2 linked regions of the Caenorhabditis elegans genome follow. The protein of the gene in region 1 interacts with the protein of each later gene in a pairwise test. Each region holds a gene or a part of one and is shown in the gene's direction. Other genes may lie near its edges.

Region 1 (3,577 bases):
AAAGAAATACCAAAAATTAATCTAAAAACTTTATATTCCGAATAACTATCAATTTAATTAAATTAGGTGAAATAATTTAGGTCAGAGATACCTTGTCCCGTCTCCGGAAGAAAGATGAACGAGCTGGAAAGTATGTGCCCCCGCCACCCAAGCAAATGTATGAGTTCACAAGTGAACAACGGGGTGCTCTGGATCAAGCGTTTCTCGTTACACCTCAAATGGATTCAGATGGTGCAAGGGAGTTATCAGAAATTACTGGCTTAACTGTGAAGCAGGTAATAGAACATAAGGACGGTCTCAGAATATTGTCGACCAGAAAAAATCACAAGAAAAAAAAACCAAAACAATTAAATTATAGCTCATTCCAAGTTTTTTTAAAGCAAAAAACAATGGCAGAGTTTCATAGTTCGTAATTTTTTCTTACATATATTTTTACCAACTTCCCATAAAATTATTATAAATGTTGGTATAAGTAACTGATCAACATATTTCCATAGATCATACCTGTAGGCATATTTTTGGAAAAAATTAAACCGTTTTAAATTTTGAGTATGACCGAGTTTCCATTTTTGAAGCCACTTTGCAAAAGCCTACCTGGTGATTTATAGGTCGGACCAAAATTTTTTCAAGACAAAAATTTATAAAATAATTGAATTCAGATCAACAACTGGTTTTGCAATCAACGCCGTAAAGCTGATGGACGAAGTGCGGAGAAAGACAAGAAACGAAGGGAGCGGATTCGAGAAGACATGAAAAAGAACGGCTTAGGGGTGAGAGTTCCAAAGTTTGGTAAATAATCGAAACTTTGTTTTAGAGAGTCGGAACTTTTCGATCTGAAGCTGTGGAACTTTTTGAGAAGGAGTACGAGACTATGTTGCAACTAGAGGCGATTGGTGGAGGAAAAGTTCGAATTCCATATACGGAATTAGTGGAGAAAACTGGAATGGAGAGGAAGAAGGTAAGGAGACTTTTTGCAAAGCTTTTGGCGCCAGTTGAACAATTTTATTGTTTAAAGATTCGTGATTGGTTCTCGAAGCGAAAAGGAAGAGACAAGCGGTTCTTGGAGAATATGGAGAATACTCGTGAAGTTTCTCCGCAAAATACGCAGCAAAATATTCAAGATATTTTGATTAAAATTGTGACTCAAAGTGGGACGCTTTGTTCAACGGACTGTTAATAATTCGAAATGCTTTTCTTTTAATAAAGTAGTTCTTTGTAGTTTCTAGTGTTTTCTGATAATTTGGACAGAGATGAATCTATAATTAGGTTGTTCATGTAGTTTCGTGATATGAGCTCTTAGAATTTAAAAAAATATTGAGATTACTGTAGCATCTCTTCGCAAAAAAACATAAAACTAATCTATGAATGTCTTCGGACAAATTTTTGGTTTCCCTGCACAGTTCAGAATTTGAAATTACATAAACTTCACAGGGCACCAGTATTTAACAACCACTATGATCGAGATCGTGGCGAGACCTATTCAGGAAATCAGCGTGTACCTTTAAACTGACGTGTGAAATTTTTGCAAAATTATGATATTTAAAAAGGAAATTATCCAAAGCAATCCAATAAATATATTCCTATGGAAATACTGCGAATATTTATCATAGTATTTTTTGGATTCTCTTTCTGCATATCCAAACAAAACATTCTGTGAACAATTTTAGTTTGAATACAAAAATATGATGGATCCATTTTAATCCTATAAAGTGCATATTTCAAGGCTTTTTATGTTTCTGACAAGCCTGAAAGTTTCTACAGAAAATGAAATTTAGAAGAGGAAAGTGCGCTCCAGCGTCATGCACCAGAGATGAGAGACGCGGGACAACGAGACGGATTTTGTTTGTTCGGTTTCTTTTTACGAGACTGATTGTACTTTTTTCTCTTGATTGTCTCACTTTTGTTAAATTATATCAGTTAATGGATATCAATGTGCGTGCGATGTTTTACTTTTGATTTTTGCGAAATTTTATAAATTTCCCTCACAAAATATTGGTTCTTTTCAGAAAAATGCCACTGTCCAAGAGACGAGCGGCAGGTAGAATCAATGGACTGAAAGGCCCACCCGCAAAAAAAAGAAAGGAAATTGAACGACATGAAGCTCTTCTCATGCATCCGTTAGCGTTAGTTTTATTTAGATATTTTTGCGAAAAATTGAACGAATTTACAGGTATACTGCAGAACAGTACGAACAAGTTGCAGAGGAGTCGAAGTTCTACAAAAATTGCTTCGAAACTACTGCCGCCGAGAACGTTGAACTTCTAAAATCCAACGATCAACTCAAAAAAGAGCTGGAATTGTTGAAAAACCAACAAGGAAATCAGTTGAAGGTCGATATGAAGTTCAAATCCCAAATCGAGAGCACCAGGCAATCAAATATGACGTTGCTTCGTGAAAGAGAAATTTGGCAAAATCGGTATTATGATGTTCTCGCTGAGAAGCTTGCGCTAAGTGCACGAGTGAAAAGTATGATGGGCGACATAGTAGAATCCGTAGAAGTGCCTAATGATTCAAATGGTAACACGTGGGAACTGCGAGAAGATTTGGAAATTGATAGAAGTGCTCGTAGAAAAACGGAAGAAGAACCGAAAGCTCAAAAAATGAATTCAACTCGTGGATCTCTGCCGAGAAATCAATGCTCCACACGCTCGAACAACCAAACACCCAATGAGATGCTCCTGAAAATGGCGATAGGATTGGATACGACGTCGGTTAATTAAGGTAATTTTGTATTTTACAAGAACGATTGAAAATTTTTATTGTTTTTTTTTCAGAATTCCTCAATCGACACTCAACACATTCCATCTCAACTTTATGAATCTCAGCACTCAAAAATCTGCTTCGTTTAATTTCTGTTTTGAGCGTTTTTGAAACGTTACTGCATTTATTTTATTAGAATAAACCAATAAATAGACAAAGTATTTTCGAAAAGCTTTTTTTTTTTTTGTAATTGTTGACATTTTCAAAATAATATTATTTAATCCAAATATCTCAACGATTATTAATTTTTTTAAATTCCTGTTAAGACTTTCCATCATAGTTTTTTTTTTCCAGAAGCATGCCACCCCCTAATAAAAGACAAAAACATGCAAGAATCTGTGGATTTATGGGTACACTTGCTAGAAAAAAGAAAGAAATCGAACAACAGGAAGCTCTGATGAAACTGCACAATCTTCCATTGACGTTAGTTTTACACGGAAGCAATTCAGAACAATATAAATTATTTACAGATACACTGAAGACCAGTACAAGATCGTTAAAGAGGAGTCGACGATCTACAAAAACCGATTTGAAACAGCTGCTGCTAAAAATGTCGAGCTTTTAAAAGCCACTGATGAACTCAAAAAAGAGCTGGAATTTTTAAAGAGACAACCAGGAAACCAGTTTAAAGTTGATAAAAAGTTGAAATCCGAAATTGACAGCGCTGAAGAGGAGTCGAAGTTCTACAAAAATTGTTTCGAGACTACTGCTGCTGAAAATGTTGAACTTTTAAAAGTCACCGACCAACTCAAGAAGGAGCTGGAATTCTTGAAAGCACAACAAGGAAATCAGTTTAAAGTTGATATGAAGATCAAAT
Region 2 (3,756 bases), on another chromosome or scaffold:
TGTAGACATCTAGAACGTTTCCGAGCAAAATACAATAGAAACAATAGCAAAACAAACATATAGTCTTCTCAATCAGGGCACTAGGTCTATTTTCATAAACATATATAATCATATGACTGAAATAAAATTGGAATTTCGATGTCTTGTTGTAGAAACTTCACGCTAAATTTGAAACAGGGGGAAAACAAATCTGTTGACCGAAGAGATGAGTGGAACACAAATCTATTCAATAAATAAACCTACACTGGTTAAAGATGAAAAATTAAAAGTTCGAGTTATAGATCGAAATAAAAGGTGATTTCTGGTATTTCTCACTTCCCGGGCGTAAAAGGTCATAAAAGACCTTTGCCCTTCTCAACCTAGTGCGAATTGTTCTCTTGACGGCGGCAATAAACGGCAGGTAGTTTTGCATTTAAAATGAAACGAGGCACGATTTTTGTCGTTAACATAAGACCAAGATTTCAGTTCTATCAATAATAAAATCTAGTGTAAGGAATAAAAGTGAGGGAAATGACGGCGATTGGGAAAAGACTAACTAGTTCCATGCGATTACTGTTCGACATGGTAGAAGGCGTCGGCTTTTAAATGTATATACGATTTGATATTCGTATGGTGAAACCTAGAGGAATAGAAGGGAGAGACATGGTCATCGGCGGGAAAAGAGAAAGAATAGGGAAAACACGTCATGAAGTGTATATGATAAGACATTTGGGACGATTGGAGCAATATCAGAAACTTTATATGGACGTTAGTCATTTGGAATGTGACTTGTGAACGATAGTTTGAAATGTTGGTGTTGAATCACCTATTCTATAAACATTTTGAATATTTTTGGACAGCTAGCGCATGAATTGTGAAAAAAAAACAAAAACGCGTTGTTATAGAACTTGAAGCAAAACTAAATTGTACAATTATTAATAATTTTTAGTGTGAAATTGAGAATAAATCTGTCATGCGGAGGCAAAACAAAACGAGAGGCAGCTTATCTCACAAAAAACGTTTTCTATTCTTTCTCCGAAATTTGACACTGAATTCAGTTCATAAAAATCCTATTGACAATTAACGAACAAAATTATTTTTAGGGAAACATGGAAGAAACAATTGAAGAATAAAATAAATTATAGAATAGAGTGTTTCAAAGAGAACAGAGATCTTGTTTCACAGAACCATGCTATCGAAAATGAAAAAAAAATCGTAAAAGATCCAGAATACTGGCTTAGCAGCAAAGAAAAAGCCTTCACTTTTCGCGGCGATTTGTGGCGTCAAATCTGATGTCGGCTGTGCGGCTCGTCTCGACGCACAAATGCACACTTGTGTTTGCCGCCGTCTCTTCTTTTCGAATTTCGATTTTTCTCTCTTTTATCGTATTTATTTTTCTTTATTTTCTTCGTTAAATCAAACGTTTTTTTGTTTTAAAATTTGCTAAATGGTTCTCGCGGCTTAAATATGCATTATCAGTCGGAAAATCTCCAAGATGTTTCAGAGAATTGCTCCGATAGATAAATTTCGAAATTGTTCCTCTTTTTGAAAACTTAATTTTCGGTTCGGGAATTTTAAGAGAGTTTAGAGCATTCTAGTCTTTCTGTAAGATATCAAGTCAAATTTTGCTCGAGTGGCCTATTTGTAAGTAAAGAAGCAAATAAGGTGCGATCACAAAACTTTTTACTCATCTGTGCATAAGTTTTCGATCATTGTTGTAACATAGTTTTTCAATTCGATGTCAAATCAAGTATTACATTGGCGAGACAGTTCAGTAAATAATCTTTTATCTCTTTCAACAATAAAAATGGGCCACTCAGCGAGCAGATTATTTTAGTTACAATTAATTTTCGACTTGTTAGCAATCAAAATGGAAATAAAATTTCAATTGTTTTTTAAAGAAGCCCGTTGTTATATGAAAACATTTGCTTATCGTCTAATTGATTCTAGTTCAACTCATTCAGAAAGCTTAATCCAAGATCCGTGTTCCATCAGCCAACATGAACAGAAATCGTCGAGACGGACCACAGCGTGATGTTAAGCGAGAGCGTCGGAGCCGATCCAGAAGTCCAAGAAGAAGTATAGTTTTTGATATTCTTCATTCCCGTTTCCACCATTTTTTCCATAGAAATCCTTCTCTATTTTCCATTTCCTTAAGGTCGTATCGGCGCTGCTGTTGGAAGTAACAATGGGAACTCATCATCGAACAACCGAATGGTTTTTATCACCAATATCGCCTATGAGGCTCGTTGGGTCGATTTGAAAAGTCTAGTTCGCGAGAAAGGAGGTGAAGTCGCTTTCTGCGAGTTGCTCGAAGACCGTAACGGCAAGCCAAAGGGTAACGCTGTGGTTGAGTTCGAAACTCGTGAGGGTGCCGAAAAATGCGTTGAGAATCTACAAAAGTTCGACTGGAAGGGAAGAACCATCATCGCCAAAGAAATTCGGGTCCGTATCTATTTAATTTTGACACTCACATTCAGAAATTTTCATCCATTTTTTATTTTTTCTGTAGGATCCGAATGCTTTCTTCCGAACCATCAAAACTGAAACAGGCATTGATTACTTGTCTCGTACCGGAGGTGGTGGTGCAGGAGGACGAGGTCCTCCACCAAAAGATCTTGATCGCCCTACTCGAACTGGAACTTATGATTTATTCGGTCTCAATATGGAATTCCTTCGCCAACACAACATTGAACCGCCACTCTGTGAGCGCATCTTCATCGCCAATGTAGGTTTCAAATATTCTTCTTCTCGAAGGGCTCCACATCTAGACCACGTTCACTTGCTGGGTCTTTATCTCAGTTTTGAGATATGAAATTATTCGAATGGGAGAAATAAATGCAATTTTTCATTTTGGTGTTTTTAAACGGAATAGTAGTAGGAAGCTTTCTACGTGGAATTATATACAACAAAATGGAATCAGTGCTTATTATAGTTTGTTCAGACAGTTGCATCCTCCGGGTAGATCTCTCAGTATCATACGAATAAAATATAGCATCACTAATTCAGTTACTAAATACCATTCTTAGTTCCCAATCAGAGGTGGTTGGCAATTATTTTCGGAAATGCTACAAAATGACCTATTGCGACATGTTTTTTTCAAAAGTTTTCATCAAAAATTAGTCTGAAAATGTAGATAATCACTTGATTTATCTGAAAATTAAAAAAAAATTATCTCGTTTTAAACATTTGGAAAAGTGCGCGAAAATGACCAAAAGTTGCCATTTGCCGAGAAACGATAATTCAACAATTTGATGATCGGCAATTTGCAACATCCTGGTATTTTTGAAGCGCTTTTCCAAGTGTTTTATCTGAAATAAGTGTTATTTTCAGATTTAAAAAAGTGATTTTCTATATTTAACATGGCGAAATATGTCATTTTATAGAATTTCCGAAATTCCACTTCTGTTTCCAAGACAATATTATTAATCAAACATTTTCAGTTGGCTTTCAATGTCGGAACCGATAAGCTTTACGAAGTCTTCGGTATGGCCGGTAAAATCACCTGGATGGACTTCCGCATTGATAAAGAAGGAAAGTCAAAGGTTTGTTAATATTTATAGTTCCTATAAAATATAAATGGTGTCTTCCAGGGAGTATGCGTAATTCAATACACTCACCCAATTGAAGCCGTACAAGCCGTTTCGATGCTCAATGGTCAGCGACTTTTTGATCGAAATCTGGTTGTGAAAATGGATAGATTCGATAAGGAACTGGAGCACAAAGAAGGTGGACTTCCACGAGGTCTTGAGTCAATCGGAATGGGTCTTGGAGCAG

What was found. Proteins that work in one complex are often made in the same cells at the same time.
Region 2: the proteins of C49C3.6 (region 1) and sup-46 interact in a two-hybrid assay, tested with the Caenorhabditis elegans proteins (one large-scale study listed by BioGRID).

Annotation. Positions count from the first base shown.
Region 1 is NC_003282.8:17,329,521-17,333,097, forward strand, and holds C49C3.6 (uncharacterized protein), read left to right. Parts: upstream 1-2,006; 5' UTR 2,007-2,010; coding exon 2,011-2,123; intron 2,124-2,170; coding exon 2,171-2,720; 3' UTR 2,721-2,721; intron 2,722-2,774; 3' UTR 2,775-2,927; downstream 2,928-3,577. Other genes in the region: ceh-88 (Homeobox domain-containing protein), read left to right, coding at 81-275, 660-770, 815-958, 1,016-1,177; C49C3.7 (Coiled-coil domain-containing protein 176), read left to right, coding at 3,059-3,183, 3,231-3,577.
Region 2 is NC_003279.8:10,170,791-10,174,546, reverse strand, and holds the start of sup-46 (RRM domain-containing protein), read left to right. Parts: upstream 1-1,943; 5' UTR 1,944-1,979; coding exon 1,980-2,058; intron 2,059-2,137; coding exon 2,138-2,424; intron 2,425-2,491; coding exon 2,492-2,707; intron 2,708-3,422; coding exon 3,423-3,524; intron 3,525-3,572; coding exon 3,573-3,756.